Linked DNA regions of Diceros bicornis minor. The protein of the gene in region 1 interacts with the protein of each later gene in a pairwise test. Links are inferred from orthologs where the notes say so. Each region holds a gene or a part of one and is shown on either strand. Other genes may lie near its edges.

Region 1 (7,361 bases):
ATGGATGGCACGGCCCATGCAGAATAAGACAAGGCCAAGGACAGAATCCTGCGAAATACCAACATTTAAGAAGCGGGTGGAGGGAAAAAAAAAATCAGTCCAGGAAATGCACACAAGCAATATTGTAGACACATAACTACAGAGTGAGGGAATGACTGTACAACCAAGACAGAAGTTTCTGGAGAGCAGAAACTGGTTCTTACTCATGAGTGTGGCTCCCACACCACTTTAAAGGCACTCAGATATTGACTGAATGAATAAAACCATTGGAATGATATAAAGTAACTTACCTGGTTTAGAATGATCTTATAAAAAGAAAGGCCCATAGAATTGGAAAGGATGATTCAGAGAAAAGAGTTGGGGAAAAGCAGATATAGATTTATTCTTATTAAGAAAAAAATACTGAAAGACTCACATAGAAAGATGGGTAGTATTAATCAGAAGACGAATGTTATCTGGTTAAATAAGCATATAAAATGTACATGACAAAATGATTTGTAAAGGCATAATTATGTAATTATATATGTTTGAAAATATTCTACGTATTATGTAAATAAAAATGTACTTTGGGGGTCGGGCATAGCAGGGTGGGGGTGCATCATGGGCTTATTTCTAAAAGAAAGGGCTTGGTTCTTGGCTTCTTAGCTATATGAGTCTGGACTCTTGGTGGCAAAAACCACACTCAAGTTAGCATAGGCAAAAAAAGAGAACTGTTGGCTCAAAGAATCCAAGAGTTGAATACCCAAACAGTGTGGAAGTCAGGACACAGTGGATACAGACAGCTGTGTTAAGGAGGTGAGTGGGACATCCCTGTTCCTTGTTTGTCTCAGCTTCTTCCACATGTGGGCCTCATTCTTCCCTCTCATTGAAGACAGATTTTCTACACTTAGGTGCAAAACATGGCTCCCAGTAATTCTTGAGTTTTACATGATATAATTCTAGGCTTTAAGGAAAAGTCGACTCCCTCTATAACCAAAAACCTCAGTCAACGGCCCAATTAGTTCAGCTGGTTTTTTGGGTTACAAAGAACAGATAAACTCATGCCACCTTAAAAAAAAATCTCTAGTGTCTAGTGCATAAATATTTGTTGAACGAGTGGAATGGGAAGGAAGGAAATAAGAAAGCAAAGGAAAAGAATGTATTAAACTAGAGCTTCGCTGCCCAATATGGTAGCCACCAGCCACATGTGGTATTGAGCACTTAAAATGTTATTAGTTCAATTTGAAATATGCACACTAGATTGTAAAGACTTAGTACCAAAAAAAGAATGTAAAACATCTCATATCTCCATTTCTTTAGGTAAGTGTTCACTAACCACCAGCCAATAGGGCCAAATAGGTTTTATTTGGATTCGATAGGCTTCAAAAAAATCTTTTATAAAATGATTTACCAACGTTTAAATTCAGATTTCACAAAATTCTCATTTTTGGTTTCTCTTGTAATATTGGAAGACGTATTTTTTTCTTCATCTCACTTGTGCAATTATTTTATCCTGTTGTACTATTTGTTTTTATAAGCTACCTTATATTCTAATAGGCAAAGAATGAATTAAGAAATAGACAGCTACATGCTCAGGCCCTGCAACTGTGGTGAGGAGAGAGGGAGCTGATTAAGCACCATCCTCCAACCTAGAGGAGCTTAGTGGGGAAACATAATAGGATGCAGGGGCAATATTTCCTTGCAAAGTCTCAAATGTATATAAAAATGGTTTCAATGATCATCTATCACCTACATTTATATTTTAAAACGACTACATATAAATTTTATATATTTCCTTTACAGCATAATATAGTGCTAAGAGCCCAGACTCGGAAGTCAGATTGCCTATTCAAATTCCAGCAAATTGCGTGACCTTGAGCAAGCTCCTTAACCTCTCCATGATTCATTTTCCTCGACTATAAAACGAAGATAAAAATACTGCCTACCTCATAGAGTTACTGTGAGAGTTAATATAAATAGCTAATAATAAATAATGGTAGCACCTATCTCCTACTACAATTATAATTACTACAACTCCTCCTCCTCCTATTACTATTATTATTACCGACAGCCTAGCAAGGACAGCGCTGAAGGGGAACTCTAAGGAAGCCAGTTTTAAGTGCACAATGGAGACTGGATGGGTCTTTTTCAGATTTATTTTTAAAAAGCAACTTCCAAGGGTCTTTTGGGGTAAGAACCGATACATCCAATTCACCTATATCCTCAGGGAAGCCAAATGATAAATTTATAATTACTCCATGTGTTAATTTAAACGCTACAGGGGCGCAGTGTAGTTTGAGTAGTCAAAAGACCACGACATCTTGCTTTTGAAAATCTCATGTCAACTTCCTCATCTCAAAGGAGGCCGAAGACTGGACCTTAGAAGGGATTCGTTGTTCAAGCTCCTCATTTTACAGAAAATGAAAACAAGGCCGGGGAGGTTAAATAATTTCCCAAATTCCAGCGAAATTTTTTATGGCCGAGAAGGTATATCTAGCGAGTAATGGTGTCTCAACTACAGCCAGTGAGTGCTTGCTCCTATTGGCCATTAAGCGGTTTCCAAAGAAAAGTAAAAGTTAAAGAGTAAGAGAAAGGTTTAAGGGGGGGGGGGGCGAGAACCGAGAGAAGTAGTGGGAAGCCCTGAGATGGAATGTGGCTATTTTCATTGGGTTTTTGGGGGGGGGGGGAGCGCGTGCGAATCCGCAGGTCAGAGAATGGTGGTGTGGACACGCTTGTCAGAACTGCCCAGTTATCACTCACACCCACGTAGACAGAAACATCCCTTCCTCAGTGCCCGACTACAGTCAGAAGAGGAAGGCAAGCGCGACCAGCCTCGCGGATCCTACCTTCGCGCGCGCCGCCTCGACGGCGGTGGGGCCCCAGAGCCCGAACCTGGAAAGGGCAGAGAGGTTTTTGGGTTCAGCCGCCGGGCCTAGCGGGGGTCCGAGGTGAGGGCTGGGTCGGGCTGCACGCGGGGATGGGGAGAAGCCGACCGGCCGTCACTGCGGCGCCTCTTACCCGCTGTGGCCCTCTCACGCCGACCCTCGGAAGGGCAGACACCGAAGGCCACCCCTGCTCGCAGTGCGCGCGGGGCTCGTAATGAGGAGCCACAGACGCCGCGTCGGCATGGAGACGAGACCAAGCGCAGCCCGAGCCTCGGGAGCAGCCGAGGGGAAACACTGAATGGACTGGGCGGGGGCGGGGCAAGCTCGGGAAGCCGCGGAGGGGCGAGGAAGGGGCTGGGTGCTCCCTGAGAGCAGAGGAGCGCGCGAGGCAGACGGAGCGCGGCGGGGCGGGGAGACCCCCCGGGGTACGCCTGAGAGGCGGGGCCGAGGGGGCGGAACAAGGCCGGGACGGGGCTGAGGGGGCGGGGTGGGGCCTGGCGAGCCTGGGACAAGACTGAGGGGCAGGGCGGGGGTGTGACGGGGGCGGAGCAAACTCGGGGAGTCACGAAAGGGGCGGGGCGAGAGACTCGGGACCCGGAGATCTCTGCGGTTCTGGAGGTCCATCCGGGCCGCGAATTGGGTGCATACACCTGGGGACGCACGTCCGCACGCGCACTGGTTACAGTGAGAAGGGCAGAAGGGAGCGGGCTTGGAATATCTTTGTCCATACCTGATCCTATTATTAGGGAGGAGAGGGAAAATGGCGGGGTGCCCTCGTTAACTTTAAACTTGTGGAGTAAAAGGAGAAGACTTGAATTGGGAGAGAGGGTTGTCCCTGGATGTGGATGAACAAATGTCCCCTGTGGGACTTGGTCCCCCAACCTGAGGTCGCCCCCAAAAGATTATGGTTTTCCTGGGGGTTTCTGGACGCCAGTTTCCCCAGAAGTCAGCTTCGCGTGATCAGAACCAGGGATTCTCCTCTCCTTACCAGCAGGGGCCAAGTCCCGGATGAAATTGACGTTGGCCAATGGGAGGTTTTACTGCTTAAATAACTGCTTTGGTCACAGAAGGGGGTGGGGGAACATTTCTATTAGAAAATTCTAATTGTTCTCAAGCTTGGCGTCTAGGAAGGAATTGGTTGTTTTTCTCCACTTGGGATGTAGGGAAATCACTAGGATCGATTTGTTGCTAGGCAACGTGTTTTGAAGGAAGCCCGTTAGTTGGAATCATATCTGGATTCGAATTTCACTAAAGTAGCCACATGATATGCAGTATAATCGGTATTTAACCTCTGGGGTTAGGTGCCCTTGAAAGATGGTTGTGAGCTTCAAATGATATAAAATGTATAAAGCTCTGACATGTAGAAAATACTTAAAAAAATGGCAATTTTATTATTATAAAAATAGAACCAGCTGGACCATTTCAGGAACTAAGAGTATACAGAGATTCAGTTATTTTTAAAATCTCTTAATCATCTGTCCACATTCACTCTAAATCTCCTTGGAACCTGGATGGTAGGAAAGAGGTAAAGGAAAAAAGCCAGAATGGAAGTTTTTTGAAGAACTCAATGAAGTCATTGACAAATACATCCTGGTTTGATAAGGACATGGCAAACCACTACCTGCTCTATTATGGGAACACCCTTACATAGCTGATGTCTTAAGTGTGATTGAAGACTTTTCGTTTAAACAAGGCAAAGGGAAATTCATTATATTTCTTTACCAATACCTTTGAAAACATTCATTTTGATGAATTTGCTTAGTACCAATAAATGGGTAATGTCTGACTGGCTATTCCCATTGTCCTATTCCAAGGAAAGTAAGAAAACCTCAACTCTAACTGATTAAGCTTCCTCTTCTTACCCCTCCACCCCCACCCCCCCAAAGAAGATCAAATCCATTTGTAGAATGCAGTGTTTTCAATGTTTGTTTATTGTTCTTGAAAGAAGGGGCAAAAATGATTTAATGATAGAGAATAAAAATATTTCTCCACATGGAGGAGTGGTTAGATCTGGCTTCCACCTCGGGCCTCAGGGTCTTCAAGTAAAAAGTGAGAGTAATATACACTACTTGCCCCCATAGCTTAAAACATGAAATGAGAGAAAAATAAGACCCTGACACAGAGCCTGGCATGTGACAATTGATCAATAACTCAGCTATTATTATTACTTCTACTATAATATGTATATGAATAAAAGTACCTACTACCAGGGTAGCTGTAAGGATTGAAGATCATTTAGGTAAAGAGCCTGGCCCAGTGCCTATTTGAATCCATGATGGTTATTTTATTTCTCTCTGATGAAAAAACATTACATTTCATCTTTGCTTGTATAACTTGAGAAATAATTCACCTATCTCTATAACTTTTGTACACAAGTTGTTATTGGTGTAATACTCAAAAGTAGAGAACAGTTTAGCTCTGGCTTCTGCATTCAGGCCACTGAATAAATTACCAAAAGTATCTAGTGAAGGTTTGTTCTATCAAAGTGAAGGGGAAAAGCCACTATTATATGTACAAATATTGAATCTCTGCACAACAACTACCTTTTATTTAGCTCCATGACTTTTAATGGATAAATTTTTATTACAGATCTGAATGTTAGCAGAGCATCATAAAAAATCATAAATAACATTTAATGTTTTTCTGATTATAAAAGTAACACACACTCATGATAGACAATTTGCAATGTACAGAGGAAATACAAGGAAAAAAATTAAAACCACCTCAATCAATAATTTTATTTTTCCTTTTAGCCTTTTTGTATGCACATATATATTTACTTTATAAAATTTTTATTAGATAGTGTACACATTGTTAACATCTGTTTAGCTTAACATTCTCTCCAGTGTCTTAACATTTCCCCAATGTCTTCAAAACATTTTTAATAATTACATATAATCAAAATTATATATAATATTATATAATAAGTCACAATTTACCCATAATCATTTAACCATCCCCAATTTGGAAATTTTCAAATTTTCTCCTGTGATTAATTCTTTCAAGAATATTTATTGAGTGCTTACTACATACTAGGTGCTATGCTAGGCATAAGACTTAAGTGGTGAACAGTCACTATAAATATAAGGTTTCAGTGAACATCTTTGTACATAAATCTTCGATAGCATCCTTCATTTTTAGACTGAATTTCTAGGACTATGAAAACATAACTTCAAAAAGCATTTTTCCTGCTTCAAAGGCAAACTTAGGAAATAAAATCCTGAACTGTAAAATATTAACTTTTTGGAAAATTACCAACAACAGAATTAATATTTATTTTGTGCCAAGTGTGAACTTACCAAAAGATGCTTTCTCGTTAGTGACTGTGAAACATCAAGGGTATTTGAAGTGTGTTGACTTTGGCTTTTACTTCTAATTCTTTCCAGGATTTGCAGGTTTTCTCAAAAGTGTGAGATTGTTTGAAGTCTATGCAAATTGGCCCTACTTCCTCCTCTCAGGGTTAAAATGTTAACTATTTTATTTCCAGCTTTACTCTTGTAAACACAGAGCTTTTCTACATTTCTTTCATTTACCTTCCTGTGTGAAACATTTTGTATCTTCACACTTTTTAACCTGAAGGCAGATTTCTTTCTTCTAAACCCAAGTTATTATACACACATCCCTCCCTATAAGGCACCGGACTTAACATGTCCTGTAGTTGAGTTTGGTCAAGAAACATAATGCAAATTAACCAATGTGTTTAGGGAATTTCATAATAGAGATTATTTATTGAAAGTAATAACCCCCTCCCCCAACACACACACACACACACACACACACACACACACCCTACTAGTCTTTGACAATTAATGTTCGTATATAAGGTTGAACCAAATGAAATTGCCATTTCCGGATTAAAAAACGGTCATAATGACAACTTCATGTGGTTCTATCTTTGTAAATATTTCATTAACTAGTTTATAATTTTTTCAACTTTCTCCAAATATTGAACTTCCTGATTATCATACTAAGGATATCCTTTATTATTGCACAAGATGGTATTTGCTTTGACTTTCATCTAGTCGGGAATCTAGTCAGGAGAGTGCCATAAAATGTTTGTTTATTATTGCAGAGACAGTAGAGGGAGCCTGGATCCAAAACATTGTCATTTTAGGCCTCATGTAAATGATGATTGTTTCCAATTCTTGGTATGTGGATGAATTTAAATACTAGTATATATGTGAAACAGCAATTTTTAAAAAAAGGTTGATTGTACTTAATCACTTTAATAAGATGGGAAGGGGAAAGTTGGCTGCCAGTTCAGGCTAGACCCCATCAGGGTTCACACTGGGAGCAACCCGAATCCCATCGTTCTCCGCTCTTCTCTGAGTAATGCTGGAGACAGCACACTACCACAGTGACATATTTGTGCTCCACAATTTTCCCTTTTCAACCAATAACGTAGATAACTAATTTCCATGGGCTTTACATCATGATTCTTTGATTCATCAGAACTTCAATAATATGTTACTATCTCCAATTGTGTGTCTTAATTTA
Region 2 (7,656 bases), on another chromosome or scaffold:
TTTCCTTCACACCTCCTCTATTAAAGGCTGTGCCAAACTCTGAGATAACCACTCCAACAGAAGACCATCAAAGGAAAAGATAAAATGCGAGCTTCAGAAGGGCAGGACCCTGGTAGGGCTTGGTATCTAGAAGCCATTCAATATTCGTTGAATAGATGAAGACTTCCCAATAAGAATAAAGAACATCTGACCATGTGTCTCCCCGGCTCAGAGCCTTCAACGGCTTCTGACTGCTCTCAGGATGAAGTCTAAATTCCTCAGTGTTGCTGACCAGCATCCTCTGAGATTCGGCCTGTTTGACCCTCTAGCTTCACTTGACCCCCCTCTAGGATCCAGCCATCCTGAGCCTTTGGCAGTTCTCACCTCTATCCTCATTTTCTAAGACTCTGCACATGTGGTTCCCCAGGCCTCAAATACTTGTCCCCACCTGCCCTCCTTTGCCCAGCTGACTCCTACGTGGCCTTTCAGTGCCTGGTAAAGGCTTGCTCCTGGCCAGGTTACTGTCCCAGGGGCTACTATGGGAGCTACTCTGACCTCCTGCACTGACCTTGCAACGGATGCTTGCCTATTTCTCCTTCTCACATCAGCTTCCCAAGGACAAGGACTGGGCATTTCTTGATCATGGTCCTGTCCCCAGTGCCTGACCCAGAGTTGATTCTCAGGAAATATTTATCAAAAGACTGCAAGACACCCATCTGGCAGGCTTGATCCAAGCAAACAAGCTATACGACTCTTTGGAATGAAGAGTTGACCCACGTGAGCTCACTCTTGAGAGCTGAGGTGGGGCCCAATGTACTCCTAAACCTACAGAACCCAGGGAGGACCAAGGACAAGTACGGGCCCCACTCACCCCTGCTCCTTCCCAGCCTATGTACCAACAACGGGGCTGTCAAAAACCCAAGACACACTCAAATGAGACCAAGAGGCTGCTGCAATTCTGACGAACACCACATACAGATTCTTGTTGGGTTTTGTCAGCTTGGGGTTTTCAGTTTGTGTTTTTGTTTATTTGAGTCTCCTTTAAATGACTTGGGGCAGCATTAGCTCTGAAGGTATTAGAGGCAGTCCCAGAATACACGTACTCCAAGCCTCTGCGTGCGGAAGGGATGAGGGCTCTCCCGGAGTTCTGCCGTCTCCAGGGCCGGAAGAAATGGCAGACTGAGGTGCACCACTCCCTGACCCTGGCACATTTGGTGTAGACCAAGCCAGTGACTTACGGTCGTGTATTAGAGTCTCATGTGTGATGTCCCCGACAACTCTTCAAATTTATCCAAATGCGAGCCATCCCTTGCTCATTCTAAACAATTTTCACTTACTTTAACCCCTTCCCTCCTCCTTAATGCCTTTATCTAAGGATTAGCATTAACAGTGGTAACATTAAAACAAAATAACAGACTGGAGAAATTTCCTACTTTCCTCTTAAAACTAGAGGGGGGAAACTTTTAAAGTCTTGAGGGTTTAAACAAAAAAGATTTTAAAACACATCTATCCTTATTGGAGAGCCTCTCGTGCAAGACTGAGATGTCGCGGCCCAACCCTGGTTAGTTGTGTACAAGGGGTATTAATTTCAGTGCAGGCATGAGGTGTCCATTTCAGAGCTAACAACTCCTAATAGCAGACAAGTACCCTAAAGGCGGCCTGCAGTAGGTGGACTCCACCTAATTTGCAACTACAGTCTCCCACTCAAACCTACAGCTGTTCAAAAATCTCCCAGTTCCTGGAGCAGGGAGCCTTGGAACAAAGCACTTTCCCTCCTCTTCGACGGTAAAACCTCAAACCACAAAGGTGGAAGAAAAAGAGAAGCCAGCAGGAGTGCCCCTCTAATTGTCTATTCTTATACGCTGTTTATTGGATCATTAAAACCTTACCAGGACTTCCTGGTAACTGTAACTGTTGAATTCAAGGTTTGTCTCAGCTATTTGCACAGAAATCTCGCACTTTCAAACTCAAGAATATTTTCCCTAACATCTCGTCTAAAAGGACTTTCCAAGCAATCTATTGACAAGACCCTTGAGTGATTCGTGGTCTCTGCAGGAGTGGAGGTGGGGCGCGCCACCCTGCACACCTGTTGTCAGGTGACACGGCCAGCAGCATCCTGCACACTCACCTCCCCACTCCTCCCCACCCCCAGCGAGTCTCTTCCCTCCTGGCCTCCTCCACCCAGGAGCCTACAGCCTTCCGGAGTTACCTTAAAAAAAAAACTCCCAACCACAAAGCAAACAAAAGGCCGATCAGGAGAGGAGCGAGAGCAGCGGGGGTTCCCGTGGTCCCTCTCCAGCCAGTCCCTGGATAGCCCCCTGCCCGCCCCTGCCTGGCTTCAGTCCGGCGAGTATCCCCCAGTCCCCCACCCTACGCTCCCGGCAGATGCCGAGCCAGACTTCTACACCACGGCCACCTGGGGCTCGGGCCCGACTTATTGTGCCGGGGCCGGCAACTCGCGGGCCGGCGGCCGCCTCACCAAGTACAACTCTGGGCACAGCAGCTCCTGGACGCCCAGGCCCAGGCTGGCCAGCCAGCGCCGCGGGGCCTCCTCCGGCCTCCGGCCCGGCCCGCACGGACCGGGAAGGGACGCCGGGGGAGGGGCCAGAACTGTCTCCTTCCCACAAAAGCGCCCAGGCGCGGGCAGGGGGACGCGGTTCCAGGAGAAGTTGGCTTCCGGGTTTGCTTTTTGAACAAAACCAAAGGGAATCCCGCGCGGCCCGGGCGGGGCCTTGGGAGGGCGCCGTGCGCGCGCGAGGCCCCGGCGTCGGCCGCACCGAGCGCTGCAGCCCGAGCCCGGCCGAGCGCCGCCCGGTGCGCGCCAGGCCCGGCCGCTCCCAGGCACCCGCGGCCGGAAGAGCGCGGCGGCCGGACCCGGGCGGCGGGGACGGGGCGCGCGGCGAGGGGCCCGCGCGGCACTTACGGGGCGGCTCGGCGACGGCGGCGGCAGCAGCAAGGTGTCCGGCCCGTGCCCTCTCGGCCGCTCGCGCCTTTTCTCTCCGCGCTCCTCGCTGGCCCGCCCGCGCTCCCGCCCGCCCGCCTCCTCGCTTCCCGCCCGCGCCGCGCGCTCGCCCCCTCCGCCCGGCTCCGCTGCTGAGTGAACTGGAACCAGTCGCCGCGGCCCCGGGATTCCCACAATGCACAGCGCGCCGCTCGTCACATCCCATCCCGTCCCCGCGCGTCCGGCCACCCCTCCCGCGCCACCCGGGCGCCCCGGCCTTGACCCCAGCCCGCGGTTGCGCGCGCGGCGGCCCTCGGCGCTCCGCCGCCTGGACGTCGGTCAGTCTGTCCCCTGGCTGCCCTGAGGCCCTGGCGTCTGGCCCTCCGCCCTCAGGCACGCCGCCTGGACGTGGACGCCGGACACAGGGTCCGGCCCTGAGCCTGGGGCGCGTCCTGAGCTAAGTCCTTGGAAAGGGTCGGGCCCCAGGCAGAGGCGCTCCTCCAGAACGCGTCCCAGCCTGTGTGTCTCGAGTGACACTGATTAAGCGCCTACGTGTGCCTGGCCCTCAGCACGGGCCTTTCGCTGCCTTATCCCTAGAAGTCTTCCCATTGATCCAGGGAGGGAGGCACAGTTGCTGTTACCAGCAAGCACTTTTCCCTCCCCAGCCAATGCAAACCTCCCGCGCTCCTCAGAGCCTCCCGCGGTCTCTAAATACTAACCCCATCACACTTGACCCCACGGCCAGCTGCTGCACATCCGGCTCCCCTCGGGCTCTTCATAGTGACCCTCAGAAGGCTGCACCTGCTTTGCGCATGGAAGCGTTAGCTACTTCGATTCAGCAAACGTTCTCTATTGGACCCAAGTGGGGATTTATTAATATAAACAGTGATTCTTTATCATCACACACTTTTTTTGAAACTGCGGACAAGCAGAAAGAGGAAGGGCCACCTCAAAGCCGGTCTTTGTATTGCTAAATTGTTTTCTCTCCCGAAGGCGTTAGCGGACCCTTCGGAGTACTTAAATAGGAGCCTTCCCTCTACTCTCCTCCTCTCCATCTGCCAAAAGCGTGGAAGGGGAAGCCACCTCAGCACCCAGCTGTGACCAAATTTAGATAACAATACACGCCCAGCAGAGTTGATGTGAGGTTTAGTGTACCGCTGCTGGAGGTGTTGGGGGGACGATTATGGAAGTCCTCAAAGACCCCTCCCAGCCCTCAGGCTGCCCCCTACAGCAGCGGTGGTAACCTCTTCTCCTCCAGATGATGATTTACACCCACCAAACTGTAACAGTTTGCAAAGCAGTGTCCAATGCATGCCATTCATGCATTCATTTCAATTAAGTACTGAGGTCTTACTTTGTGCCATGCATCAATTTGGGTGATAAAGATGAAGCAGTGAACCGAACAGGTAAAAATGCCCGCCCACCTGGGGTTTGCAGTCGAGTAGGGAAAGAAAGACAATAGGCAAAAGAGATGATGTGTCAGATGGTGTAAACACTGTGAAAAATAATAAGGCAGAGAAGGAGGATAGGGAGGGTGAGATGGGTTGGGGTTTCAAATTTTAGAGGCCTCCCTGAGAAGGTGACATTTAAGCAAAGACATGAAGGAATTGAGGGAGCAAACCACGTGGATATCTGGGGGAGAGTGTTCTAAGCATGAGGAACAGCAAGTGCAAAGGCCCTGAGGCAGGAATTGGACATTCCAAAATTGTCAAGGAATAATGAGTGTGCTCTTACCACAAAAAAGAAATGATATTTGTCTTTCATCTTTCTTTAGGGCTGAGTAGTATTCCTTTGTGTGTGTGTGTGTGTGTGTGTGTGTGTGTATATGTACACCACATCTTCTGTATCCATTCATCTGCTGATGAGTACTAAAGTGGTAAAGGGGCACATTTGTACAGTGACAGATGATAAATAGACTTTTAGTGGGGAGCACAATGTAGTCTATACAGAAAGCAAAATATAATGATGTACACCTGAAATTTTTACAATGTTATAAACCAATGTTTCCCCAATAAGAAAGAAAATTAAATTTAAAAAAAAGAAAATTATGTGATGTAAGTGTTAACTAACAGTAAGGTGGTAATCGTATTGCAATATATAAATGTATCAAATCAACACGTTGTACACCTTAAACTTACACAATGTTACGTGTCTAATATCTCAATTAAAAAAAAAGGAATAGTGAGTGTGAGGTTGGAGTGGAAGGAGCAAAGGGGAGAGAGTTACAGGAGGTGAGGCTGGAGAAATGATGATTCTTTGAGTCCCAAAACAAAGTATTTTGGCTGCATAAGGATCCCCCAGGGAAGCTGCAGAGGGGTGTCAGGGAAGGTGCAGAGACTACCTCATGTCATTGCTCTGCCCCTCCCTGGGTCCTTGGGCAAGTCTCAGCTCCGCAGGGGCCAGCCACCACGCAAGGTTTCTGTGGGCCATGGCAAGTCTGGAGGATGCCAGACTCCATTTATTCACTCAACAAACACTTGCTGTGCACCTGCTGTGTGCCAGGGTCGTGCCAGGCTCCTTCCCAGAGAGGAAAACTTTCTAGGTGTGTTACCACACTGTCCAGGCCCTGGTGCAAAACATAAGCAGTACTCCTGGAAACTTGAACGAGAGAGAACTGCTGGGCTGCGGGGAAGGCCAGGCTGTGTGGAGAGGGGGAGATGCTTGCAGCCTGCTGATGCCCTGGTAGTGGTCAGACCTGAGGCTGCTTCTTCCCCAGGTCCTGAGTGATGACCAAGGCCAGATGCAGAGGATGATTGTCCAATAGATCCCAATCTGCAACTCTAGGAAGCCAAGAAGTAACTCCCTCACCTCCAGCCCAGCATTGGTTTCTGACTCAGTTGATTTGCCTGGTGACTGGGAAGCGGGTAAAAGGCCGTTTCTTGCTCTCCATCTTATTGCACTCTCACCATCTGCCAGATCACGTATATCCCATCATTTCCTCCTCACAACAGCTCTGCAGACAGGCTGTTTCTGGGACGTTTCTATCCCCTTTGTACAGATGAGGACACTGTAGATTCAAGAAGCCAGGAAAAATGCCTGAGATCTCAGAGAAAGTAGGCTGGCACTGGGGTTCAAACCCACGTTCATCTGGGACCAGAGCTTTCATGTTCAGGCCTGAAAAGAGCCCCTCTGGGGGCTTCATTTCCTCTCCACCCAGCATCCGTCCTCCCCACACCTCCCAATTCAGAGTGGATCTTTTTGTCCCCACTCGGTCATGCACCACTGTCCTTGGGTTAGAGTCTGCACTCCTCCAAAAGCTGATCTTGGTGCCAACTCCACCCCCTACACCCCTCCACAGCGTGCCATTCTCATAGAACTCACTAGAAATATTGTCCCCTGGCGTTGTTCAAGGCAGAGGCCCTGTCTCCAGCTCGCTCCAGAAGGCTCCACCCTCTTTCTCTCCAGCAATTTGCATGCCCTGTTCTTCCATCTGCGTGACCTGTCCCCTTCCCCAATCTGGCTCAGGGGGCTTCCTCAGCTTCTTTTTTTTTTTTTTTTTTGGTGAGGAAGATTGGCCCTGAGCTAACATCTGTGGCAGTCTTCCTCTATTTTGTATGTGGGACGTCGCTATAGCATGGCTTGGTGAGTGGTGTGTAGGTCCGCATCCAGGATCCGAACCTGCAAATCCCGGGCCACCGAAGCAGAGTGCGCAAACTTAACCACTATGCCGCCAGGCTAGCCCTCAGGTTTTTTTTCCAATTGCAAAATAAATGCATGTTCACCACGTAAAACTTGGAAAATAAAAATGTGCCAAAAATAAAAATCACCCTAAGTACACCACTAGAAGAGAACCACTGTTCGCCTTCCAGCCTTTGCAACCATATCTACTTAATATTGAACATATTCAGGTTCCTACTGCGTTTAGTGCTTATCACGTGCTTTTTAAACTTAATGGTCCTTTATGAACATTTAACCAGGTAGTTATTCTACAACAGCAGTTCTCAAACTATTTGGGTTCAGACCCCCTTTATCCTCTTAAATTATTGAGGACTGCAAAGAGCTTTTGTTTGTGTGAGTTACAGCTATCAACAATTGCTCTATTAGAAATTAAAACATAAATTTTAAATATTTATTAATTTATTCATTTTTATTCATAAATAAGATACTTTGTGTGTGTGTGTGTGAGGAGATGAGCCCTGTGCTAACATCTGCCAATCCTCCTCTTTTTTTTGCTGAGGAAGACTGGCCCGGGGCTAACATCTGTGCCCGTCTTCCTCCATTTTATATGGGACGCCGCCACAGCATGTCTTGCCAAGCAGTGCGTGGGTGCGTGCCCGGGATCCGAACCGGTGAACCCCGGGCCGCCGCAGCAGAGCGCACGCACTTAACTGCTTGTGCCACTGGGCCGGCCCCCAATAAGATACATTTTAAAAATGGAAAGTTACATGTTAACATAAATAACATATTTGTTTAAAAAATAATTATATTCTCCAAACAACAAAAAAATTTAGTGAAAAGAGTGGCATTGTTTTGCAATTTTACACATTTCTTTAATGTCTGGTTTCATAGAAGCTAGCTAAATTCTCATGTCTCCTGTATTCAATCAGTTGCTATGTGTTGTTTTGTTTGAAGTATGTGAAAAAAAATCCAGCCTTACACAGATATGTATTTGGGAAAAATAGATGATTTTAATAGCCTTTTCAGATAATTTTGGGTGTTCGTCTTTGACACTACATCAAAATTCAAAAAGTAGTAGTTTCTCACATCTTAACTACAATGTAGAATCTGAGACCAAT

What was found.
Region 2: the proteins of ERICH2 (region 1) and core histone macro-H2A.1 interact in binary tests that used the Homo sapiens proteins (3 or more experiments, as listed by UniProt). The two-hybrid records come from large-scale screens. The link is inferred for Diceros bicornis minor from reciprocal best matches to the Homo sapiens genes ERICH2 and MACROH2A1.

Annotation. Positions count from the first base shown.
Region 1 is NC_080749.1:52,232,906-52,240,266, reverse strand, and holds the start of ERICH2 (glutamate-rich protein 2), read right to left. Parts: upstream 3,020-7,361; 5' UTR 2,998-3,019; intron 2,872-2,997; 5' UTR 2,826-2,871; intron 1-2,825.
Region 2 is NC_080740.1:54,404,677-54,412,332, forward strand, and holds the start of core histone macro-H2A.1, read right to left. Parts: upstream 3,005-7,656; 5' UTR 2,903-3,004; intron 1-2,902. UniProt on the Homo sapiens protein: Variant histone H2A which replaces conventional H2A in a subset of nucleosomes where it represses transcription. Nucleosomes wrap and compact DNA into chromatin, limiting DNA accessibility to the cellular machineries which require DNA as a template.